Linked DNA regions of Oryza sativa Japonica Group. The protein of the gene in region 4 binds, or shares a complex with, the protein of the main gene of each other region. Links are inferred from orthologs where the notes say so. Each region holds a gene or a part of one and is shown on either strand. Other genes may lie near its edges.

Region 1 (2,870 bases), on a different chromosome or scaffold from region 4:
GTTCCCCTTGGACACAGCCATGCCTTGGAGGAGACTCGAAGACACTTATGTTTGTGAATCTGTCTCCAGAGGTGTCGTCTACAGGGGAGTCAATTTGCTCGCTACGGTTCGCAGCACGGGTGAACTCGTGCGAGATTGGCATCCCTCGTCGTCAAACCCAAGTGCGTAGCTTGGCGCAAGGATGAGTTGGCTTGGACAAAATGAATGTCCATGACTAATTGTATTTGTGTGTTGTTTGAGGGATGCAATGGATCATTTGCATCCCCTCCGTGTGTTGGTTGCTTAGAGGGTGTGTATAATATTCTGATTTGGCATGTGGCTTTGTTGATTGTACGAGCATCGCATTGCATTACATTACAGATAGTACTGTAGTATCTAATTTGTGGCTGCATCAATGTGCAGTGGTAGTAACAAGATGTGAGGTTGGTTGTATTTTATTGGAGAAGTGCCCTGTGTTGTGTTGGGCTGGCTTTGTTTGGATGATAAAGACAGACAAGTAATTGGAATTGAAATGCTCTGTTGCTTTTTAGTACTTACTGAGTATGAAGTTATATTGCATAGCGTAGATGTGAATATGAATATGTGTGTGATGAGGAGGATATATATATATATATATATATATGTATGTATGACAAGTAAAGTGAGAGAAATACAGTACTAGCTAGTACACCAACAGAAACACTAGGCCATCTTTGCCATGACCTCCTGGAGGATGATCTTGGTGTCGGCATAGGAGGAGCCGATCTGGGTGTCGTCCTTGGTGCCGCAGGCCTTCTGGAGGCGCTCGAAGCTGTCGAAGAGGCGGGTGGCGAGGTCGAGCAGCGGGGGGCGCTGGTCGTCGGAGGCGGCGGAGATGAGCTTGTCGAAGTCGAAGTACATGAAGGTGGACTTGAGGCGGAGGTACTTGGTGACGTAGTTGGCCCTGTCGGCGTTGTTGCCCAGCAGGTCCTCCAGCGCCAGCAGGTCGAACGCCGTGCTCCGCAGCCTGTACGCGTGCGCCGCGTAGCTCGGCCCGATGTCGGCTATGTAGATGCCGTTCCTCACGAACGTCCGGCTCCCCGTCTCGCCATTGTTCAGCTCCTCTGCACACACAATATATATATATATATATATATATATATATATATATATATATATATATATATATATATATATATATATTGCAATCACTATATTTATATATTTTGTGTGTGTAATGGTAATTAATTTACTACTCACTGTTGACAATCTTTGGCACCGGCAAAGGGAACTCGGTGAGCCACCACCCATTGTTTGCCGGCTCGTCGTCGGTGGCGGCGCAGGCGGGATGATGCTGGAAGATGGTGGCGGCGGCGGCTGCGAGGCCGACGGAGAGGCAGGCTGATCTCCGTCCGCCAGTGGAGCACGCCGCCACGAGGAGGAGCAGCCTCCGTGGTGTTGGCCGGAGGAGGCGGCTGGTGCTGGCAGTGGCGGCGGTGAGGCCTGCTGATTGGAGATAAGTGGCCATCGAGGATGTGTGTCAGTGTAGCAAGGGAATGAATGGATAGCGCGCGATGCCACGAGAGGATGAGGAAAACCTTCGCCTTTGCAAAAGTGCACCACATAGATATTTCTCTCGGTTTGATGGGGCTGCCTCTCCTAGGGGCCGACAGAATGGCTGCATGAAGGAATTAGTCTAACTTGCCTCCCTCCTCTCTCGCTCTTGATTGAATCGTCTCTCTTAACCGCTAAACCTGGTATAATGCCTCCACCATCTTCTTATTCTGCAGGAGGTGATTCAGTGATTTTGAGTTAGTTTGTTTCGTTTTCCACGCACACACTTCCCGAATACTAAACGGTGTGTTTGTAAAAATTTTCTATACGAAAGTTGCTTTAAAAAATCATATTAATCAATTTTTTAAGTTTAAAATAGTTTATACTCAATTAATCATGTGCTAATGTCTCACCTCGTTTTGTGTATCTTCTCAATCTTCTCTCTTCCTCCTCTCAATCTGGTGCAAACCAAGGCATTTACATGTGGTTAGGGGTGGACAGAAAGCTTGTGGTTCGTTAGCTCACTCGGCTCGTGACAGGCTCGACTTGGCTTGTCTCGTTTGAATTTCCTAACGAGCCGAGCTGGCATCTTAGCTCGTTAGAGATAACGAGCCAGCTCGAGCTGCTCGCGAGCCTTAACGAGCTATGGGGTTACCAGGCCAAGTCAGGTCCACAGCTAACAGCACACATACATTATGGCCCATTGGCCCAATAGACTCATCAAAAAAAACCCTAGTTCACCTCAGCCTGAGACCCTGACTCCCTGTCCACCACCGTCTCGCACATATCGCATTCGCATCGCATCAGCGGCTTGGGCGCTCGGTGCATCTCGGCATCCGCATCTCGGCCATCGCCATCGGCGCTGCGCCACGCCGCCGTGTGAGCGCCATCGCCACCGCGCCAAGCCGCCGCCGCCAACCCCCATCGAGCGCCTGCCGCCGCCGCTCTCCGCCTCTCCCCCAGTGCCCGCCGTCGAGCTCGCCTCCTCCTCGTGGTCCAACCGTGAACTGTCCAAGTGTCGGCGGAGCTGTGAAGGTTGAGTTCATCCCCTCCACCATCGAGCTCCTCTCTGTAGTCGCCGTCGAGCTCAAGCTCGAGCTCGTTTTCTCCGCCGTCAAGCTCCTCCCCTCCTCCCCTAGTTGCAGACTTGAAGTGCAGGCGAGGTTGAGCTGCTTCCTATGCTCGCCGGCTATGTCTCTTGCCCCTAGCTCGTGAGCTTAACGAGCTAGCTCGAGCTTGTTGATGAGCCGAGCCGAGTCAACTCGATATCTATCCCTACATGTGATTCCATTTGTACACGTCAACAAGTTTGACCATGGTTAACTACCCCGTGAGTAGAAACTTTGCAACAATAGAAG
Region 2 (3,382 bases), on a different chromosome or scaffold from region 4:
ATTAACTCGTAAAAATAACATGCGTTCCAAAAGAGCTTCATAACAAAACAAGGTGGTAATAACATGTGATTAATTAAGTTTTAATTATTACAAATTTAAAAACTAGATTAATCTAATATTTTAGAACAACTTTCGTATAGAAAGTTTTCGCACGAAACACACCGTTTAACAGTTTGAAAAGCGTGCCACGAATATCAAAAAAAAAATATCCTCTCTTCCTAGAGGATTCAAACGGGGCCTAGTGATGGATTTGTGCGTACAGAAGAAGTATGTTCATTAGAGTTTAAATTCTGATATCCGCAGTTACACGTACAATGAGTATTCTTTCAGTAGAACTTTTAGTTATTTCATGCATTACGAACGTGTTTAAAAGAGACGTTCTCATGGGTATGTGCATCCGTTAGCCTATTCTATATCAGTATATCTCTAACATTTTTTTTTTGAAGCTTACAGAATACGATCAGATGGCACGATAATTAGCCATCTCAAAAAATGAATCTGAATAGCTCTGAATATCATCACTTAACTTTTGTTAAATTTTTCAGTTCAGTATAATTAATTTAGATGCGGAGCAACAGGCAACAGCAAATCGCCTCATATTGACATCTATATACAACACATTGTCATATATCACGAACCGACTGAAAACATCTGCAGATTAATCGTCGGAAGAACCGAAATAGGGGAAGAATCTGCAATGCAGGGAAGAAAACAACTGAAAAAACGCTAGTCTGGCAGGCCAAGGACCGATCTCCCACCCGATTGCTGAGCTAGCTTGAACGCAACCTTCGATCCTGTGCATATCATATTCTCTCGTAGTCGAGTTTATCCGACTGTAAAAATAGTGTTAAGATTAAGTGGTCAAATGATGGTACATTCTGCATTTTGGCAATGCTGCATGTGTGATGGACTTAGAGATACTGTAATTACCTTGATGAGCATGTAAGTTGGCAGCCATGCCGGTGGAGTTGGGATTCCAACCCAAGCGATCTGTCCAAACATATGAATGAGATTCAGAAGTCCAAATCTACAAAATATACAGAAGAAATGAAGTGGCAGGTGACTCACCAGGGCATACTCCCCTGTTTCAAAGATTCTGATGTCCAAAACCTGCACGGTAATGACGAACAAGATTATGACCGTAGCTAGAACGAAGATGTTCTTACTGCTAGGTTTAATTAGCTGAAATTAACTTCAGGTTCAGTAAGATGGGCTAAATAATTACCTCGCCACGGTCCTCGTATATGTAGTCTAGCCCCTTGAAGAAAGGCGGGTGTCCAACTGACAGATACTGAATCAATGAAACAAATTTTTAAAAAAAATCATGTGCAGGGGAGGAAATCATAGACTGAAATTACAGCACAAAGAGTAGAAATGAATGAAGCATCTATGCAGTAGCATCGATCAGTGTGCTTACGTTGATGCTGTTCAAGTACTTCTCCTTGTCGACGCGCACAATCTGGCCCTTCTTCACTGTGGCGCATCATCAACCAAATCAATTGGATGAAAATAAATGGATTGGTTAATCAAGTATAAACAAAAAAACAAACAAGAAGCTAAATGGCTTTGATGCTTGTTCAGAACTCAGAGCTGAAATGCAAAGTTGCAAAGCGTATTCATTACTCGAGTAGACAGGTTTCTTCTTGAGGATCTTCTTCGGCGCCGGCGCAGCCGCCTGGCCGTCTCCCGCCGCCGCCGCGGCGCCGCCGGTGGCGGGCTTTTTCTCCTCCCCGGCCGGCTCGGCGGCGGCGGCGGCCGCCTTGACAGGAGAAGCAACACGTCTCCTCCTCCTGGCTGACGCCGGCCAGCACGCGGTTGGCGTGACGGAGAAGAGAGCGCGCGGCGAGGAGAGGAGAGCTTCCATGGCGAGAAGCTTAGCTTTGGCAATGGCAATGGCAAAAAGCAAAGTGACGAAGTGCACGTAAATATGTGCCACATGAATTGCACGCGGCAGATAAGGTGACCACTGGGCCTGAGCTAGCGCTCTCAGTTTTGGGCCAACTGTCACAAAGCTTCAGGCCCAGCTCACCTCATTTGGGTAAGGCCCATATATGATGATTATATTATATGAATGAATTAGCAAAAGAAAAGAGAGAGAGAGATAGACAGAAAAAATAAAGGAGAATTGGAGGAGTCAAGGTCATGGATCATGACACCGTCTTAGATTGTTGTATGCTCGACCTCAGCGAATGAGCGAGCAAATGAGGAATTCCGCTTTAGTTTTATGTCGCTATTTAGCTTGGAAAGAGTAAACAACAGCGGCAAGTGGAAGGGAGAAAAGCGTTGAGAGCAATGCAAAGCCTAGCTTAAGCTTAGGAGGACACCCCCCCCCCCTTTTTTTTTTTTTTTGCAATGGTCATCTTCTACCTTTGCTTCTGCTGGTTTGTGGCACTTGTCGTAACATGCACAATTGACCGATGCCAAGGATCCTTCCTCCTCAAATGAATCCACCGCGTTTTCAACGTCCCCATCCATCCATGATCCATCCCATTTGACCTCTACTTTAGCAAAACATAGCAACCCTTCGAAAATATTCGATCAAACCGGCCCCACGCGTACCATTATTTTGTCTTGCGACGGTTGCGCTGGAAAAAAGCAAAAAAAAATCATGAATCTTCTTCCGCATGTCCAGGTAGTGAATGATCCGAGCATATCCTGGCCCCACATGTCAGTCTAACGAACACCCAGGCGACTCCTGCTTGGGTACGGCCTTTTGCCTTTCCCAGATGTATAACAACTGCCATGTGGAAACTGCCATTAATTATTATCTGTATGACATGTGGGGACCACCCGATGACCCTTCCTCCTACTCTGCCTCGCGTTTAAAAGGTCATCGCCTTTCAAGTCTCTCGCTGCGCCTGCGCGTTGCCGTCGAGTCCAACTACTCCATCTCACTGACAGATGGGCCATTCGCCCTCGCGCCACAATGCATGCGGCGGCGGCGGCGGCGACGGCGAGTCGCCGCCCTCGCCGCTGCCGTCTCGCTTCGAGCGGTTCCGCCGCCGCCTCCGCCTGCGCCACCGCGACCGCGCGGGGCGTCCCGGTGGCGACGCCCACGCCTCCGAGTCGGGGACGGGGAGGGCCATCGCCGTCGACGAGTTCGCCGGCATCGCGCGCATCCGGATAGTGAAGGTACGGGGCCGGGTTGGGTGTGTGTGCTTGCGGCTGCGAAGCGGAGGGGGGTGGAATTGGGGATCGGTGGTTTTGATTCATTCCGTCTGTGTACGCTGCTGCTGTGGTTTTGTACGCGTTGTTTTGATTTGGTTGGTGGCCACAGGCGGATATGCAGTTCAAGGACAAGTTCATCGCGTGCCTCTCGCTGGGCGAGCGCACGTACCGCACCGAGAAGTCTGACAAGTTGAGCATATTTTTCATCTAATAT
Region 3 (2,720 bases), on a different chromosome or scaffold from region 4:
TGGGCTCGTCGTCTACTCCCTCCGTCCCAAAATAACTCAATATAGGATAGGATGTTACATATTCTAAGACAACGAATCTAGATTGAGTTATTTTGTGATTCTCTCCATCCCAAAGAAACCAACCTAAGAGGGGATTTGACCCCTCCCAGTACAACGAATCTGGACACTACATCTCCTCTTAGGTTGGGTTTTTTTTTACGGAGGAAGTATTTCTTACGGATAGTAACTTTAGGGGCCTATTTATGAAAAAAAATAAAAAGGGGCTTAAATGTAAAATTTTCAGTCGAAAAACACGAGGTCCTCATCCGAAATTCCTAATTGGCGACTGGTCGCGTGCCCCCTCACCCCGCGCGGATGGACGCGTGGCGCGCGTAGGAGGGGGAGGGGGCGCGGCGGCCGCGCACAGTGGGAGGCCCGCGTTCTTTTTTTTTCGCCGGTTTTTATGGTTGTTTTCTTCGGTTCTTTGTTTTTTTAAAAAAAAAACATCACATATATAAAGTTTGTATATACAGTATACAAAGTTTATATACATACGTATATAAAGTTTATATATATGCGTATAGTGTATATATAAAATTTATATACGTGATGGTTTTCCTCTATTTTTTTTTATTTTTTAAAATGAACATATATAAAGTTTGTATATATATCATAAACTTTGTTATACGTTATATATAAACTTTTGTATATGCGTATATATTTACATATAAAATATATTTTTTAAATAGTACTAGTAGTATATAATAACAGTAGTAGTGGTGTAGTGGTCCTAGTTACCAGTACTAGTAGTACTAGTACTAGTTCTAGTTAGCTGTGTTTATTCTAGAGTAAAGTTTAGATTTTGGTTGAAATTGAAGATGATGTGACTGAAAAGTTATGTGTGTATGATAGATTGATGTGATAGAAAAGGACTGAAGTTTAGATCCAAACTTTGGATCTAAACACAGCCTTAGTAGTAGTAGTTAGTAGTACTCCAGTTACTACTACTTCCTCCGTTTTACAATGTAAGTCATTCTAGTATTTTTCATATTCATATTGATGTTAACGTGTAATAAATGCTAGAATAATTTATATTATGAAACGGAGGGAGTAGTAGTTTAAAGTAGTACAGTGGTAGTAGTACTAGTAGTACTTTAAGTATATACTGTACTCCGTATAGCAGTACCAGTCGCCCATTAGCCACCCCCGGTCCTCATCCACCTAGGCTTTAAAGGCTTCGTCACTTCCACACATCCTCTGCTCCGCTCTGCTCCACCAATGGCGCCCACCACCCCCGCCTCCTTCCTCCGCCCGCCGCCGCTGCCCCACCACCACCACCCCCGCATCGTCCGCCTGCCCCCTCCCTCGGCGACCTTCCGCGTCGCTGACCTCCTCGGCGGCCGGGGTCTCTGCAACGGCGAGGTCGGCATCCGCAAGGAGCTCGCCTCCGACTCCCCCGCCGCGCCGCCATCCACCACCACTTCTTCCGACGAGCCCGCGGAGTCGCCACCGCCGCCGCCGGCTGCGTCCGGGGTGGACCCGGACGCGTTCGACAAGGAGATGATGGGCCTCACCGGCGGATTCCCCGGCGGCGAGGTCGGCCTCAAGGACTTCGTCGCCAAGAACCCGCCTCCCCCCAAGCCGGCGCACAGGAAAGGTCTCGCCGCCGCCGCCACGGTGGAGCGGCCGAGGGCGCCGGAGCTGCCGCTGTTCCTCCCCGGGATGGTGGTGCTCGTCAAGAACCCCAACAACGCCTACCACATGTACTGCGGCATCGTGCAGCGCGTCACCGACGGCAAGGTCGGGGTGCTGTTCGAGGGGGGGATCTGGGACAGGCTCATCACCTTCGATCTCGACGAGCTCGAGGGGAGGGAGAAGGGCCCGCCCATGGTGAACCCTAAGTCCGTGCTGCTCGAGTCCCTCGCCGCGGAGATGGAGGACGATGTGGCCAAGGAGGAGGAGGGAGAGGAGGCCAAGAAGAAGAAGGAGGAGGAAGGCACCGCCGCCGCGGCTTGACCACCATTGCTGCTTCTGCTTCTTCTTGTATGTATACAGCTATCTATATTTTCTTAGATGATGGAAGTGAAAGGGGTATATATATATATATTATCTATTCGATGAGTAATTTCGAAGTGAGTAAATGTGTTGTTGTTAATTGCTATATGTACAGTTGGAATCTTAGTGTGAATTGGCACTATGAAACAAACGATTCGGAGATAAAAGTTTAGCTTCTTTGTTGAATTGCTATATGTTTGATCAATTTGATCACGTTTGGTCCGGATTGCTAGTGAAATGCCTACAAGGGCACCAGTTGCCATAGTTCATTATGTTGGTAGGATTAATTTTTTTTTTTACAAACTTGAATTATCATCTCTTGCTTCTTGAAGCGAAGAGGCTATGACAGTCAGGTAACCAGGCTTTCATGATTGTAAATTGTACAGAGTATGAATGTTCAAGTGTTCGTTATTCCTGACATGACTTCAAAATCCCGCAGTATTTCGCACAGCAACTATCTATGCATTGTAGTTTACGTTTGCCTGATAGCTGGTTTCCCATGATTTTTGTTTATTTGAAAGAGTATATGAAAAGATAGGGCCTTTACTTCTATATAACCTGCCTTACTCAGGAATAAGTGTAGCAGCAGATTTAAAAGGATGGTAAAGGAAGACAGTGAAGTAACAATAATGATATAGTGTTTTGCAAACAGAGTACAATTTGTATTGATTACCACCATCTATATC
Region 4 (4,074 bases):
TTTTTTAGGACAGAGAGAGTATGCAGCAACAAAAGGTATTGGGAAAGGAGTAACTTTAGTCTGCGTATGCACGAAAAGACAGACATTTGATCTTTCATGAACCACAACATTATTTCCTGACCCTCGACAGGTAAGAACGTTTTATTCCAGCCGAACAATAGAGGATTCTTCTCAACTTAGAAATCTTGGCCTCAACTCAGCATGATCTCTGACTGCGCGGAGAACATGCGATAAGTTCACAGCTTACTATGAAACCAAAAACAGCAAAGTCTCCGGGGGAAGAAGATTAGCCCTCTGGCACCTATTAGACCACTGGAAGCTCCCCACACTCACTGATGACCACCTTCTTCTTCGGGCGGTCCCCTCTGTCAGTCTCCTGCGATTCGATCATCTTAACGATGTCCATGCCTTCAATAACCTGCCCAAACACGACGTGCCTCCCATCCAACCAAGGTGTCTGCATTCGCAGGTAGCAGTCAGCGCAATGTAATTTTGAGTGAGTTTCGACACTAGTACACAGTGAACATATCAGTACAGTGTTACCTTGACAGTGCAGATGAAGAACTGGCTGCCATTGGTGTTTGGCCCAGCATTGGCCATGCTGACCACTCCAGGTCCAGTATGAACCACTACAAACATTACAAGACATATAATCAGCACAACCACAAGATAAGAAGCAGAAAGAACGATCAGATTAGGTCATTTGTCAGACGTACATTTGAAGTTCTCGTCTTTGAAGGTCCGGCCATATATGCTTTTCCCTCCAGTACCCTGAAATATTCATTTTTTGAAACCTACTTTATCCACATGCAGAAGTTGAAAGCTGAATGATTTGATGTAGGCTAGGTCAAAAATTCATAATTCATGAAACCAGGCAGCTGCATGATTTAATTTAGGCCATCAATTTAAAGAAAAAGGATTTGGTGCTAATCTCCTTGTAATCTAGCCATGAAGTCAATAATCACTGCATACACATTATGCTGATCACAAACTACCAATTCATACTCATAATGTACATGATGCAAAGCAGTATAATGATCTAAAACACCATAGGGCAAGCACTGAAGTGCATAACACAAAGTTGTATAATGATCCAAAACACATATATAGGTCAGCTTTCTATCCAAAACAGCATAAAGCGCTAACATTGATAAAACAAATCAAACTTTTTTTTTTTTGGAGAAATAGTTGGCTCAATGGTGATAGATAGAAACAAACACATGAGCTCATTCAGTGTTGTGAGTAATGTTACACTATGTGACTTTTTCCAATAGAGTTTGTCAGATGAAACAGAGGAACAAGTGCAACATAGGAGTAGATTATAAAGAAAGTAAATAATGAAGACATACGTTGCCCTTGTCAAAGTCTCCTCCCTGAATCATGAAGTCCTTAATGACACGGTGGAAACTGGACCCCTTGTAACCAAACCCTTTTTCTCCTGAAAAGGAAAAGGGCAATGGTATGTGTATCATGCACCAAATCTGGGTAATCCTGTAAAGTAGTAGATGACAGAAGAGAAGAAAAGCAAGAAGCCCTTTGTACCAGTGCAAAGAGCACGGAAGTTCTCTGCGGTCTGGGGAACATCATCCCCGTATAGGCCAATAACGACCCTCCCAACGTTCTTCCCAACAGGGTTTCCGATGCTTATGTCAAAGTACACCTTGTTTGTGATTTTGGACTGGAGGTCCACTTCCTGCAATGTATGGGAGAAGTTTAGCAAAACTGAAAGAATAAATTTGAAGCGTGGTATCCAGTTCTCCCACATAGGGTAAGAATAATCGATACTTGCGCTGTTCTTTTATGTATGATGTTAATTGAACTAACCAACGTCATATATTAAAGGAAGGAGGTAGTATATCGTAAGTTAACATCTAGTGGAGGAAAACATGAAAGCGCATAGTGCACATGGGAAAGGAAAACCCAGCTTTCAGTAGTACAGAAGGGCACACGTGTTTCCTCACAATGTTGCAGGCAGTCACTGATGATGAATAACGTGTTTACATTCGGTGCACATACAAGGTAAGACCTGTAAGTAGCAGAACCCTATGGTCGAGGCAACTAAAATTATTAATCAGAGCAGGTGAATACATAATAAAGCATTGGTGATGATAAGCCTGAAACTGCAATTTTGGTAGCATAAATTTCACCTGGTGATTTAAAAATCTGATAACAAAATTTGACATACAAAGGCATTACTAGTATTAGTTTTAATTTAATGGTGTTGGAAGGTCGAGGTCATCTGTGCTAACCCAATATCTCTTCCTCCAAAGAGGCAACAAACAGGGGCCGGTATTGCGGAGGCTGATTGCATAATAATAGTCCAGTAAGGTGGAGTAGTAAATTTGACTGATATACTACTAGACAGGATTACAAGAATGGATGCGGTGCGGCAATAGAAAGATATATGTAGGGCAGATAAAAGAAGAAGATCCGGGGACACAGTACCTTGGGGTCAGCGGTGGCGGAGGAGACGAAGCGCGCGCGGCTGTGAGCAGCGGAAAGCGCAGGAGTGAAACCTCCAAAGACGGCCGATGAGGGGAGGCGTGCGGTGCCGGTGCCGGTGCGGATGGAGAGGAGCGGCGAGGGGGTTTTGGAGGCGAGGAGGGCCCGCTCCGCCGCCGGCCGCGCGATGGCCTGCAGTGCAAACACAAGAGAAGAAAGAGCGACGATAATAAGATTGAGAGCTCGGTGGGGAAGAAGAGGAGAGCAGAGGCCATGGATGAGTGAGCTTACGAGTGTGGCGAAGGAGGTTGCGACCGCCATTGTTGATGTTGAGGAGGAGACCCTTTCTCTCTCTCTCGCTCAGGTGGATTGGGATTGGATAGGTAGATAGGGCATTGCACTGGGATGAATGGATGGCATTTTTGCATATGTGTGCACAGGAAATACAATAATCACACACACCTTCTTCATTGGGGGAAGTACTATATTTTATTTTTGGGACCAAAAGCATCTGTTAAATCAACTCTATTTGTCCCAATCCAACTATTTAAAATTTATTTATTTACAGTGTCTCTTTCTATAATATATCGGTAAGTTATCAATTATTATACAATATACCATCGGACTATACTATTTTCAAAAATACCTAAAATACACCATATAAGGTTAATATTTGATTTATCCTACCATAAGTTTCAGAAGAAAAAAAATGCTAGTTTATGCACTAGTTTTAAGATTTTACATTTTTATATTTTTTTAAAAAAAATTATTTATCCATTATATACTGCAAGAATTTTTTTTTTGCTGTTTTTAATGTAACTTTTTTCGAGAACATACCTCATTTCTAATGTAAATTATCTTTTGCGTAAGTAATTTCTCTCTCATAAAAAACTCAAAAATATTTTTTTTAAAAAAGTGAAAACTTGAAATTTATATATAAACTTTCATGTTGGGTAAGTAAGCTACATAAACAATTCATATTTTTAAACCCTTAGATGAATAAATTAATTGTTAACCTTATATGTATTTTGAGTATTTTTTAAAACTAGGACCTGAGTAAATATTTTTCTTGAGTTTTAGGTTATAAGACTTCACATTCATATATGTCTAGATCTATTAACACATATATAAATATGGACAATGCTAAAAAATAAGAATAGGAGGTGGTATTATTTTTTTTTTGGTAGAGAGGGGAGGGGGCCGCATAGGAGGCAGGAGGTAGTAAAATGGGCTGATGGGCATAGTATTCACGGGGGCCCATGTAATAGATGGGATGGGCTTGAACACACATGTAATGTAACAATAGCCTCGGTCGAGGTGAGGTGGAAGAAGCAAAGCAATCTCCGTGAGCGGTGATGGCGCAGCAGTGGCGATCTCTCCTCTTCCTCCTCCTCCTCCTCCTCGTGCCCTTCGCCGCCGCCGCCGGGCAGGATGCGCCGTTCGTGGTAGCACAGAAGAAGGTTGCGCTGTCCCGCCCGGGTCCAGGCGTGGAGCGCCTCGCCGTCACCCTCAACCTCTACAACCAGGGTTCCGCGTCAGTCCCCTCCCCATCTCATCTCCCTCTTCCCCCAGATTTAGATCCACATCTCTCTCTCCCTCTCTTCACTTTGTTAACCTATTATTGCTCTATCC
Region 5 (3,786 bases), on a different chromosome or scaffold from region 4:
AATTTCATGACACCGAGCAGCATTCAGAGCATCTGACGAAAAAGGTTTTCGTTTTAAACCGACAAGAAGCTTTTGGAATTCTTGAGTCTTCCTGCCACGGAAATGGCAGCTCTCCTTTTCTTCCCTCATTCACCTACCAGTTCTGGCTCTGAACCGGTCAATCGATAGTTCAACTCTCACGATTTGGGTGTTCTTTGGTTTCATAAAAGGATTTTAGGATATTCTCTGAAGTCTGAACAATGCATGTTTCGATTTGATGGTTAACAAACCTATGATTAAATTATCTTGTGGCAATACTGCAGTGCAGACAGCAGTCAAAGGCTCAAAGCTACTACTGCACATGTGCTTTGACACGAACTTTCGACATTTTTTTGAGTACATTAGTATTGATACAGTCGATTAGCTTGCTTGAACTGTTGAAGGTTTGGAAGTCACCAGTCAATCGATATTCAGTCAGAGTTCAACTTCATTTAGTTAGGACTTGCCACAAAGGATGGGAATTTTTGTTGTGTTTGGCTGTACCAATGACAGTATGAATAATGAGACATGTCTTTACAACGTTATACTTACACAAACACAAGACTTTTCTTCTCTAGAAAACATAAGACCAATTTGATAGTATATCAGAGGACCGGTTTGTTATATATCCTTTCACTTCTTGGTACAGATTGCAAATGTAGTACTCTGCGTATTGGAGACCCAAGGAGCTCCGGTGACGCATTTGCTTTCGGCGTCTGGGCTTAGGCATGTCGCACCCTTTCTCTTCATCTGTCCGTAGTCCCGCCTCTTGTATGAAACGCCAAAATTTACTCGAAAATCTGCCAGAGAATGTAACATGCTTATGTAACAAACAACAACCCCTTTAGGCAAGGGATACTGTTTTCAGATGAAAAAAAAATCAGACAGGTTCAGAATACCACCACCATACCTTGTTTGCACCTAGTCTGTTCAAGTCATGCATATTCCTTTTCATCATATGCTCACTTGTAAAATCCAACCAGGAAGATGTCGTATAGGAGTGTGGTGTTGCCGGGAATATTACAGTCTCCTGTTAAATAAGTAAATCTTCTGTAAATTTGTATATTTTTTCTAGCGAATGCTAATAAGGGAGCCAGACAGATAGCACTGAAACATCGTTAAATACATGAAACTTAATCTGGTCTCAAATTTCTAGAATTAAATTAAGATTACTTGTTTGATTACTTTTTTTTTTCTTTCGTTATTACCTGAGAAGCAACCTGCTGGTTCAGGTCCGTATGCCAAAGTTGCAGGTATCATAAGCTTGCGCTTTCCACCTGTAATGTTATTGCGATTTTCAACAGAGACACGATGTGATTAAGAAAAATAAAAGCAGTACTATATTTTTAGCATTTGACACACAAAGAGATGCATATGCTTATTATTTCTGGATTTCTGACAGTACCAACGAGCATGGGTGGCACACCACCGCCACCACTGATTCCCTGTTCAAGCCCTCGGAGGATCTGAGAATGAAAATGCGAACGAACCAAACAATAAGATTCCTTGCATAACTACATAAGATGCTTGCTACGATCGAAGATGTACGTGCAATGAACAAAAGCTGCGCACCTTGCCTGCGCCAAGGCGCATTGTCAGTGGCCGTCCTCGCTTGTAGGTGCTGTCGAACACTATCCCGTCAGTAAATCTTGCAGTGTAGTGTACCTTACAACCATGAACACAACTCCAATTAACACACTTGAAACTCCTATCAGTGTCATGGCGAGAAAAAAATGGCAGGTTTATTCGTTGTCGAACTAACTAAAGGATCGGTACTGATGCAAATTGGGCAAATTTATGATCTGCCAATGCTTAATTACTCCATACAGGAGTTAATCATATTCAGAAAACACAGGTTCTTCTAGAGAAAGTGCGAGAAACTCTTCTGTCGGAACTGACATTTATGAGCTGGCCGCGCGGGGGCTGGGCGCCGGTGCCGACTTCGACGTCGCAGTAGCCGAGCCCCGACTTGACGACGTTCATGTCGCACAGCTTGTCCCCCACCGTCGCGTAGTACTCGATGCGCGTCGCTCCGGCGTCGCCGGCGGGGCACAGAAGCCCAGGGGAAGCCAGGAACCCCGCGCCCAGCGCGAGCAGCCCCCTCCTGCCGGCCGACGTCGCCACCGGGAGACTCCAGGCAGCCGAGCACGAGGTCGACGACGGGGAGGAGGAGGAGGAGCTGCTGCTGCTGTTGCTGCACGCCGCGACGGTGAGCGGCCTGCCCGGTTTGGCGACCGGAGGCGACGGGATTGGGTTGGAGGCCATGAGCGAGAGGGAGGAGGAGATAGGAGGAGGCGCCATCGGTGAGTGAGTCACTTGGGGAGTAGAGAATCGGATTATCCCCAAACTGTGGCTGCTGCAACGCGGGCACCTCTCTGTCGCGTCGTTATAAACGCCCGCGTACGTCGTCACGGGCCATGGGCTTTCCCAACTCAACACCCGAGGACCGAGGAAGGAATCCTCGTTTTTTTTGCGGGCCAAGCCGCGTGTCTCGTCGCCAAACGGCGGCCGTGGCCCGTGGAACGACAGATGATTCCAGGAAAAAGTACACCGAAGGTCCCTCAACTTGTCATCGAGTTACAAAATCGTTTCCCAACCGCAAAACCAGATATCAGGCGTTCCTCAACTAACAAAACCGTTCACTTTAGATCCTTCGGTGGTTTTGACCCCGGTTTTATTTGACGTGACGGCTGAGTCAGCGCGTGGGTCCCACATGTAAGATGCCATATCATCACCTCTCTCTTATTTCCCATTTTCCCCTCCTCTCCCTCCCTCTCTCTCTTCTCAGGGCGGCCAGCGGGTGCGGATTGCGGAGGAGGCTGGTAGGGCAGCTGGCGACGGGTGGCGATGTGGCAACTTGGTGCGGCACCGACGAGGATGGGGTTGGCCTGCAGCCAGAACGCCGCCATCCCCCACAGCTCCCGCAGCGAGCGTATGCTAAGAGGGAGGAGGCGGGGAGGCCGGCAGCGAGTGCATACGAAGAGGGAGGAGGCGGGGAGGGGTTGGAGGTGGGATGAGGGCGAGCTCGCCGGCCTCCCCGCCCCCCTCGCCAGACCTGCTGTAGCGCCCGTTCCGTCGTGGCGCCTAGCGGGGAAATTATCTCTTAAAAACCCTAATTGCGAAATTTGTTTCTTTGCTTGTTGTCTAGTATCCGTGCCATCTCAAGATCTCAATCCCCGATCTATCGTCGAGTTCAATTCCGAATCCAATCCCTCCAAATCAAATTCCTCCGCAAAAGTCCATTTTGCCTCCCCCAGGGTCGATGGGCCGATTTTCCCTCGGCCCATCTTCCCCTCTCTCTCCCGGCTCTCTCTCTCGCTTTCCCCGGCGCGCCCCCGCTCTCTCCCTCTCTCCCTCCGCTCCGCCCCGCGCCGCGCGCGCGAGCGCGCGTCGCCGCGCCGAGCGCCCCTCCCTCGCGCGCCACGCGCGAGCGCGAGAGCCGCGCCCTGCGCCCCTCCGCTCGGCCCCGCGAGCCAGCACGCGTAAGCCGCCCGCGCCGAGCCAAGTCCTCCCTCACCGCTCCCTCGCTGCCGCTTCCCGCGCGCTGTGTTCGCGTGCGCGCGCCCGCGCGGACGCCGCCCGTTGCAAGCCGCGCGCGCGTGCCGAGTGGTCGACCGCCCGGTCGCCGCCGCCGTCAGCCTCTGCACGCGCCTGTCGCCAATGTCGCCGCTCCGCTCCAAGCCGTCCCCCCGTCATCGTCGTCGTCATCGCCCGGCCCCCGCCACTCCGCGCGCAAGCCGCCAAGGGACGGAGCCGCGCCCCTCCTCC
Region 6 (3,991 bases), on a different chromosome or scaffold from region 4:
GCCAGTGCCTATACCTCAGAAGGCATGAGAGAATTTCTGCGGTTGACATCGTGGTGCGTGAACCCGACGAGCGAGCATCGCCCATCGATGAACTTGGTGGAGGCGGAGATAAACCGAATTCGCGAGCAAGAGATGAGGATGACCACAATCATGCCAGAAAGCACACCAACTGTGACTCTAGGTAGTCAGCTCTTCACAACATCAGGTTGAAGAAGAACTAGCTAGTTTCCTCTCATCATCAGAGTTATAGACTAGCAATTCCCTTTCCATTTATTATTTCTCTCTCTCTTTTCTTTGGTCTTCATAGTGATTCAGCTGTAACTCAAGTGTACAAAAAAGGAACAGCTGTGAGGTTCCCTTTATTCCTTTTCCTGTACAAGAAAAGAATGATATTTCCTTTTCTTTTACATATTGATAATATTGGAGGCTGATGCCAAAGTTATTCCATTATACTACTATATATATCTATTGAATTAGTGATGTCATTCACAGGATTTTCTCCATTACATTGGGGGGAAAACAAAATACACATGACAGAATTTTCAGTCTCCTTTTGTACCTGGCTGAGAACTTCAGAGTTGAGACTGTCAGAGACATAGAAAGCAGGCCTTACAGTAGATGAGATGATCCATACACACATCATTTCATCTCAAAGTTCTTTATTTTGAAGAGACTCATCTTGCAGCTTTGCCACCCTGCTTTTCTTTGGAGTGGTTCTGATTTTCTGAACTGTTTCTGCAGCTGCATCTAACAAATGTGACCCCCCATTTCTGAATACCATATCTAAGACGATTTCACAATCTCATCTCTTCTGTCGACGGTGAAGTCCCAGAGCTCGCCGTACTTCTCGTTGAAGTCCCAGATGTCCATGGTGTTGTAGTCGGCGATGAGCTTGTCGCGAGCCGATCTCTCCATCATGTAGATCTCCGGCTCAAAGTTGTGTGGCTTGTCCGGTTTGTCCATCTCGATAACGCAGAACACGACGACGAACACTGCTGCGCCGATGTAGAGGTACTCCCCCTAGTGGCAGAAGTAGACACATATTCAGAGAGCTCAAGAGCCAAGACAGATTGTGAAATGTGATACATGTCAGTAGGCTGGAACTACTGCTCAATATGTTACCGGAACATTGAAGGCCATGCCAAGGATGATTGCAGGAGGAAACAACCAGGAGATCAGTGCTGCAAGAGATGGCCCATCAGTGCAAATTGAGCAAGCTTGTCTTAAGAGAAGAAAGATCTGATTTTTTTTCTCTGATTTATCTGAAAGAATCTGATTTTTCTCTGATTTATCCAAGTGAGAAAGGAATTTGGCTGTTACTACCTTGGAAGCCCTGAGGAGGTTCAGCTTCTTGGTACCACTCAGAGACATCCTCCCAAAAGCCCTTCTTATCTTCAGTGTCAAATGATTTTTTTTTCCACATCATATCACATAAGAATCAGAAATTAGCACACATGAGCATGATTACGCATTTTGATTCAAGGAATGGATAACTGGATAAGATAGCCCAGAAAAAGAACCTTGGGTTTCATTATATGTGTGGTGACCATCATACACTCCATACTCGAAGTCGTCCTGCAAAGCAGATTCTTTTCAGTGTCAAAACCATTTCTTCAGACAACACAGCACAGCAGCAGCAATCACTGAAGAAAGAATCAAAGAAACCATGGAAACTGCTTGGAATAGAGAAAAATAATGAAATTCTCAACACGGTGGCCGGCGACGGCGAGGAGGACAGACCGGGCTGACGCCGTTGGTGCGCCACTTATCAATGGGGTCCTCGTTCAGGTCGGGCTCGATCTCCGTCAGTGGCCCGGGCCCCGCCCTCGCCACCACCGCCCGGCCTCTGCTCCGGCAGCAGCAGCAGCCGCCATGCTCCGTCTTTAGCTGCCTCGCTGCTACTGCTGCTGCTGCTGCTGCTCCTGTTGCTGTTGCTGCATCGTCATGACGAAGGCGAGCTTTTGCAGTGGCAGACGGTGACGCAGAAATGGCGGACACCAAGCTGCTGCTGCTGCTCATCATCTCGCTCCAAACGCTGAGCTCTGCTGCTCGCTTCTTGCTTAGCTGGTAGCTGCTGCTGCACTTATACTTTGCTGCAAGGAGACAAAAACAAGAGGATAATGGGTATGGGGCATGTACCGTCCAGGATTTTTCGCTGCTTTTTTCCTCTTTTCTTTCTTTTTCTTCATGCCTGGAAAGAAATCTGCATCACCTCATTAGTCAGTCAGTAATCAGGTCAGATATGCATGATAATCTTGTGAATGAATAGAACTAGTATTTGTTAGTACTACATTATTGCATTCTGATGAATCTGAATTGTTAGCAACAGCAAGCACAGAGCCTTGTGTTTTACACATCAGGAGAGACAAGGAAAAGACAACTGCAACATGAGGACATGATTTGTAAATGAAAAGAGCAGAAAAAGAACCAGCAACCCAGTGTCACTGTGTCGGACGTCACTGATTCAGTGGCTGAGATACAGTGCACCATCAGCAGCGCTTTTTCACTGCTTCAGTATGCTTTTTATGCGTCATACTTGGCTCTTGTGCCTTGAGTTAGCAGGCTGCTGCATTTCTTGTAGGAGTATTCATTAACTGAACAAACAAGGCAGCAGTTCATGAACCTCTTTCCACATTTTTTTTTACTGAAATCTTTCCACATTTTGTTCCAAGAAGAAACTAAATTTCTTACAACATGCATTAAACATTGCATAATACAGCAGGTCCTACAACAGAACAACAATAGCATATCTGCTCAACTTCCATCGGAGAATTATTCCGCAGCCGTCCAGGACCTATTGCCCCCCTAAACTGCAAAGAAATCAGTGTCAGGACTTCTTGGAGTATTCCAGAAACAATATAATGTCCCATCCAAAAAACCAGAAACAATCTAATGATGGAAGCCTAGAGTCCACCAAAGGATTACCTGGTTCAAATAGAATTGGATAACTAGCTTTGTCTGGCCTTCATAACCAGCTCTTCTGTAGTAGCGCCAATGATCTCATTGGCACGCTTCAGAGATAGACAGCATATTCTTCCAATAGAATCCTGCAAGCATCACTGGCTTTATTATCCATGATTAAAATAGAGAAAATGCGAGTAACAACATAATGGTATTTCATTTAAAAATTCTTTTAGATTCTATACATTCTGAAATTTATCTAAGTTTTTTTTGGGGATATATATCTCACTATGATTTGGTACTGCTGTAACAAGCTGTAAGAACTCACTCTTGTAATGATGCCAAGCCTCTCTAACTTCTGAACAGCATCCATCACCTCAAAATTGCATTGCAAGCCAAACTCTTCTTGGATTAACTCTTCACATTGTAAGTCAAGATCCTAGCATTGAGTGCCAAGAATATTCAACTCAATTTTTATACTTGCACAACTTCAGAAACAAAACATGCTTGTTTCAAATACCAAAGCAATACCTCAATAGTCGCCTTTCCATTTTCCATCAAAATATAGTAGGAAATTATAATCTCCTTGACCTGGACATCAGAATTCAGAAACCACAAAGATGAAAATAATTGTGAGCACAAGTCTCTGATATGCTTATTCTGAATCAAGTACTACAATATGGAGACCTACTTCCTGCTGAATCACATCATCACAGAGATGGAGAAGTGTGCCTTTCCCACTATCTAGCTGTTTGTCATACATTGATTGAGTTATTAGGTTTTGATATGTTGCCATGTTCTGTTGAAACCTGAATCAAAGGTAGCTTATTTACCAAATTTGTCCAATACAACCAATACAGCAAATAAAGTATCATCATAAATAAGAAAATGCTGAAGGAATCAGGGAAGCAAAACTGCATTTTATGGAGGTATTCTAAAGTAATTCTGGCTGGATGAGTAAACAAAAATCCTCCCTGTCCCTGCTCTATTATATACACAATGCAGATTACCGACAAGATGACAAGACGAATACCCAATCAAAACAAATATATCAACCAAGGCACTCACGATAAATAGATCTTGGCACAAT
Region 7 (3,014 bases), on a different chromosome or scaffold from region 4:
CTGCGTGGAATTGTACTCTGCAGTTTAGTACAACACAACTACCTAAGTAGCATGATGACATTAGTACTTAATGCAGCGATGGCATTTTTCTAAAAAAAGATTGAGATGCAGTTTTGTAATTGGCAATTTTTGAATTGTATGACACTCTTTTGCAGAATAATGCACATGAAGATCAATTCAGGCCATGGGTTGATGTTTCTAAAGACCACGAGGTTATTCCTTTGATCGATTGAGATTTACACATTGCAGCTGGTCAAACCCTCAAGTCCAAAACATTAAACATCTATTTGCGGGAATGACTCTCTTAAGGGTGACGTAATGTCATCAGCAGAGATTGTCTCGTATCTATATGGAATGAGATAAATAAATATATTGCCAATGATCGAGAAATAATTCCCTATTGGAATATGCGCACATCCTCTTTGCAAATAATTTAACATTGAGTTTTGCCTGTGAATTTGAGGGCTGGATTCCATGTTCTACCTGATCTCACCATCATAAAGCAATAAAGCAGTGGTGTTATTTCAATGTGATTGGATTACCTGAAGTATCGACATTTTCACACCGCTAATACTCAGCAAAAACCATAGAACGGAAATGCCATGAAACTAGAGTGCTAGACCCTTCCTTAGTCTTCACGACAGGGTAATACCCTCAGTTTGCTCAGCTTCTCTTTATGTAACCATGTTGGAGTCGACAAAATTATTATCGACTGTGAATGTTCTGCTTTTGTATGAACCCGATTTGAGTTCGGAAATACCCTAGCTCATGGCTCTTCTGGAAGAGCAAAATATACATTGGGCATCTTTGAACGGGAAAATCATTGATAGTTACATGCTTTCTCTTTAGGGTACAACACGCATTCTATTTTACATCTGGGATCTGGCTGCTGTTGAATTTGATCCTTGGTTTGCCCATGCTGAAATTGAGGACTCTAGACATCATGTTGTACTTTATCTCCCCATCGTATAGCAGTTTGCGGATGAAGTGCTCAAGATCAGATCCGATCAAACGAAGCGTGTACTCTGACAGCTCCGCGCCCTGTAAATTCAATCCAGGTCAGTTAAGCAGGTACTACCAATTAAGCTCTTACAACTAACATTTCCACCTGGAGAAAGAGACCATGGGTGTACACTACTGCTACCCTGCATTTGCAATTGCCAATTCTGCCTATGAGTTACGGTGCGTAGTATACCTCGTAGTGATCGACGAGGTCCTGGAACTCGTCGTAGACCTTCTGGCACGTCTCGTCGGTCCAGACGAACTCGTCGGTGGGGTCGAGGAGGAGGGTGAGCTTGTCCATCTGCGTCTGGTCGAAGGCGTTGGTCTCCGGGTTGATGTACGCGGCGTAGATGCGGATGTGCCGCGTCGTGCAACTCAGCCACTGCCCGCCGTACTCCCGGCTCATGTTCTTGCTCTCCGCCAGCGGCTGCACCGGCAGCGGCTGCGCCGGCCCCTGCCTCCTCGTCTTCCGCTCCCGCCTCTGCTCCTCCTCCTGCGGCGGCGGCGGCAGGTTTTCCACCGCCGCCTCCTCCTCCTCCTCTTTCACCTGCTGCTGCTGATCTTGGGCTCGCACCGGCGGGAACCTGACGCTTCGTCGCGCCGTCCACGTCGCGCGCGGGAGCCGGCGCTCGAGCGACAGCTTGGCCGGGGACAGGAACGGGGACGCCGTGGTTGCCATGCTGCGCGCAGCTGTTTCGCTTGGCTTTGGCTTGGCTTGTGTTTGTGTTGCGTGGGTGGTGGTGGTTTTTTTAGGTTTGCTGCGCCTGCGCGCGCGCGGCTAAGCTGCCGTGCCGTGCCGCCTTGGAGCCACTGGCTGTGTGTGGCTTGTGTGGATAAGGGCTATTTCTGGCACTGGGTTTCAGCGACTCGTACATGTTCTGGGCCAATTGACCACACAAATGTATTGGGCTGTGGACGTTGGCACGGCCTGTTGCATTGCATGACAGAGCTGAGCAGCACGCGCTCTCGTGTGGTATGGATAAATACTGTTGCATTTCTGACAAAACTTTGTATGTGACTGTTTTTTTATAACTCCATGTGGTGTGACGGTGATTTCATACTTAAAGAAGTAACCCACTTTTCCTCGGCACAGCAAAAGCAGAGGATACGCATACTCCATGGCCTTTAAAATAACGAGAGTAATTTTTTTTCCTTTTCACTTTGTGATGATCGCTTCACATGAAAGGCAAAGCAAAAGCCTCTGTAGTGATTTTAAGCTTTCTCAGGCGGGAAAAGTCTGTTCAGGATTACTCCATCCGTCCTATTTTAAGTGCAACCATAAATTTCCGTGTCTAACTTTGATCATCCGTCTTATTTGAAAATTTTTTATAATTAGTATTTTTGTTGTTGTTATGTGATGATACAACATGAATAGCACTTTACCCGTGACTTATGTTTTTAATTTTTTTTAAATAAGACGGACCGTTAAAATTAGGCGCGGAAAATCATGGCTACACTTAAAATGGGACGAACAGAGTAAAATACTTGGGAGACATGTACGTCGTACACCGGAGACTTGGAACACTTAAAACACTTTATTATATATAAACAACTTGTTCATATATATATATATATATATTGGGCAGTAATGTAATCTTGGCAGCAATCAATTACTACAACTAACGTGTATGCATGGTGCAGCAAATAGAATACTTACAACTAACGTACGAATGAACCAATTCAAACGAATGAAATTTAATCATGTATTTATGTACAAAGGAGAGACATAAGAACGTAGCTCGAGCTAGCCATGGACATTGGTCTGCATCGCCGGCGGCAGCAGCTCAGGAAGCCCGGGCGTCGATGCAACGATGAGGGGTATCACGGGGAGGTTCTCGCAGTTGCAGACCTCGATCATATTGCCGTCGGGGTCGTGGAAGAAGAGCTGGTCCACCACCGTCTCCCCGTCCCACACTTTCCTCACGACGAACTCCCGGTCCATGGCTCGTAGCCTCGCCTTCATGACCGCCATGTCTGAGCACTGCCATTCGCTCAAATCGAGTTAAGACAAA

Evidence for each region.
Region 1: photosynthetic NDH subunit of lumenal location 5, chloroplastic (region 4) and photosynthetic NDH subunit of lumenal location 3, chloroplastic share a complex: the UniProt entries of both Arabidopsis thaliana proteins name them as parts of the chloroplast NDH complex. The link is inferred for Oryza sativa Japonica Group from reciprocal best matches to the Arabidopsis thaliana genes Pnsl5 and PnsL3.
Region 2: photosynthetic NDH subunit of lumenal location 5, chloroplastic (region 4) and NAD(P)H-quinone oxidoreductase subunit O, chloroplastic share a complex: the UniProt entries of both Arabidopsis thaliana proteins name them as parts of the chloroplast NDH complex. The link is inferred for Oryza sativa Japonica Group from reciprocal best matches to the Arabidopsis thaliana genes Pnsl5 and NdhO.
Region 3: photosynthetic NDH subunit of lumenal location 5, chloroplastic (region 4) and NAD(P)H-quinone oxidoreductase subunit S, chloroplastic share a complex: the UniProt entries of both Arabidopsis thaliana proteins name them as parts of the chloroplast NDH complex. The link is inferred for Oryza sativa Japonica Group from reciprocal best matches to the Arabidopsis thaliana genes Pnsl5 and NdhS.
Region 5: photosynthetic NDH subunit of lumenal location 5, chloroplastic (region 4) and photosynthetic NDH subunit of lumenal location 4, chloroplastic share a complex: the UniProt entries of both Arabidopsis thaliana proteins name them as parts of the chloroplast NDH complex. The link is inferred for Oryza sativa Japonica Group from reciprocal best matches to the Arabidopsis thaliana genes Pnsl5 and PnsL4.
Region 6: photosynthetic NDH subunit of lumenal location 5, chloroplastic (region 4) and photosynthetic NDH subunit of subcomplex B 5, chloroplastic share a complex: the UniProt entries of both Arabidopsis thaliana proteins name them as parts of the chloroplast NDH complex. The link is inferred for Oryza sativa Japonica Group from reciprocal best matches to the Arabidopsis thaliana genes Pnsl5 and PnsB5.
Region 7: photosynthetic NDH subunit of lumenal location 5, chloroplastic (region 4) and nAD(P)H-quinone oxidoreductase subunit M, chloroplastic share a complex: the UniProt entries of both Arabidopsis thaliana proteins name them as parts of the chloroplast NDH complex. The link is inferred for Oryza sativa Japonica Group from reciprocal best matches to the Arabidopsis thaliana genes Pnsl5 and NdhM.

The regions. Positions count from the first base shown.
Region 1 is NC_089041.1:312,356-315,225, reverse strand, and holds photosynthetic NDH subunit of lumenal location 3, chloroplastic, read right to left. Parts: upstream 1,561-2,870; 5' UTR 1,487-1,560; coding exon 1,219-1,486; intron 1,083-1,218; coding exon 682-1,082; 3' UTR 501-681; downstream 1-500. Other genes in the region: kinesin-like protein KIN-14N, read left to right, coding at 18-185. UniProt on the Arabidopsis thaliana protein: NDH shuttles electrons from NAD(P)H:plastoquinone, via FMN and iron-sulfur (Fe-S) centers, to quinones in the photosynthetic chain and possibly in a chloroplast respiratory chain.
Region 2 is NC_089035.1:42,962,867-42,966,248, reverse strand, and holds NAD(P)H-quinone oxidoreductase subunit O, chloroplastic, read right to left. Parts: upstream 1,930-3,382; 5' UTR 1,865-1,929; coding exon 1,624-1,864; intron 1,474-1,623; coding exon 1,418-1,473; intron 1,292-1,417; coding exon 1,226-1,291; intron 1,111-1,225; coding exon 1,069-1,110; intron 991-1,068; coding exon 931-990; intron 834-930; coding exon 804-833; 3' UTR 501-803; downstream 1-500. Other genes in the region: phosphatidylserine decarboxylase proenzyme 2, read left to right, coding at 2,902-3,132, 3,278-3,357. UniProt on the Arabidopsis thaliana protein: NDH shuttles electrons from NAD(P)H:plastoquinone, via FMN and iron-sulfur (Fe-S) centers, to quinones in the photosynthetic chain and possibly in a chloroplast respiratory chain.
Region 3 is NC_089041.1:5,276,820-5,279,539, reverse strand, and holds NAD(P)H-quinone oxidoreductase subunit S, chloroplastic, read left to right. Parts: upstream 1-1,166; 5' UTR 1,167-1,257; coding exon 1,258-1,995; 3' UTR 1,996-2,220; downstream 2,221-2,720. UniProt on the Arabidopsis thaliana protein: NDH shuttles electrons from NAD(P)H:plastoquinone, via FMN and iron-sulfur (Fe-S) centers, to quinones in the photosynthetic chain and possibly in a chloroplast respiratory chain.
Region 4 is NC_089039.1:192,252-196,325, reverse strand, and holds photosynthetic NDH subunit of lumenal location 5, chloroplastic, read right to left. Parts: upstream 2,801-4,074; 5' UTR 2,764-2,800; coding exon 2,734-2,763; intron 2,635-2,733; coding exon 2,446-2,634; intron 1,694-2,445; coding exon 1,543-1,693; intron 1,439-1,542; coding exon 1,350-1,438; intron 772-1,349; coding exon 717-771; intron 630-716; coding exon 544-629; intron 458-543; coding exon 305-457; 3' UTR 68-304; downstream 1-67. Other genes in the region: uncharacterized protein, read left to right, coding at 3,798-3,976. UniProt on the Arabidopsis thaliana protein: NDH shuttles electrons from NAD(P)H:plastoquinone, via FMN and iron-sulfur (Fe-S) centers, to quinones in the photosynthetic chain and possibly in a chloroplast respiratory chain.
Region 5 is NC_089036.1:32,085,142-32,088,927, reverse strand, and holds photosynthetic NDH subunit of lumenal location 4, chloroplastic, read right to left. Parts: upstream 2,395-3,786; 5' UTR 2,320-2,394; coding exon 1,918-2,319; intron 1,684-1,917; coding exon 1,591-1,683; intron 1,485-1,590; coding exon 1,424-1,484; intron 1,296-1,423; coding exon 1,227-1,295; intron 1,049-1,226; coding exon 981-1,048; 3' UTR 929-980; intron 819-928; 3' UTR 501-818; downstream 1-500. UniProt on the Arabidopsis thaliana protein: NDH shuttles electrons from NAD(P)H:plastoquinone, via FMN and iron-sulfur (Fe-S) centers, to quinones in the photosynthetic chain and possibly in a chloroplast respiratory chain.
Region 6 is NC_089035.1:41,427,245-41,431,235, reverse strand, and holds photosynthetic NDH subunit of subcomplex B 5, chloroplastic, read right to left. Parts: upstream 2,801-3,991; 5' UTR 2,023-2,800; coding exon 1,741-2,022; intron 1,576-1,740; coding exon 1,521-1,575; intron 1,393-1,520; coding exon 1,324-1,392; intron 1,182-1,323; coding exon 1,123-1,181; intron 1,021-1,122; coding exon 784-1,020; 3' UTR 440-783; downstream 1-439. Other genes in the region: serine/threonine-protein kinase-like protein ACR4, read left to right, coding at 1-210; uncharacterized protein, read right to left, coding at 2,949-3,047, 3,230-3,340, 3,433-3,492, 3,593-3,710, 3,970-3,991. UniProt on the Arabidopsis thaliana protein: NDH shuttles electrons from NAD(P)H:plastoquinone, via FMN and iron-sulfur (Fe-S) centers, to quinones in the photosynthetic chain and possibly in a chloroplast respiratory chain.
Region 7 is NC_089038.1:27,480,408-27,483,421, reverse strand, and holds nAD(P)H-quinone oxidoreductase subunit M, chloroplastic, read right to left. Parts: upstream 1,722-3,014; 5' UTR 1,682-1,721; coding exon 1,196-1,681; intron 1,042-1,195; coding exon 865-1,041; 3' UTR 501-864; downstream 1-500. Other genes in the region: uncharacterized LOC4336531, read left to right, coding at 156-233; uncharacterized LOC4336529, read right to left, coding at 2,747-2,983. UniProt on the Arabidopsis thaliana protein: NDH shuttles electrons from NAD(P)H:plastoquinone, via FMN and iron-sulfur (Fe-S) centers, to quinones in the photosynthetic chain and possibly in a chloroplast respiratory chain.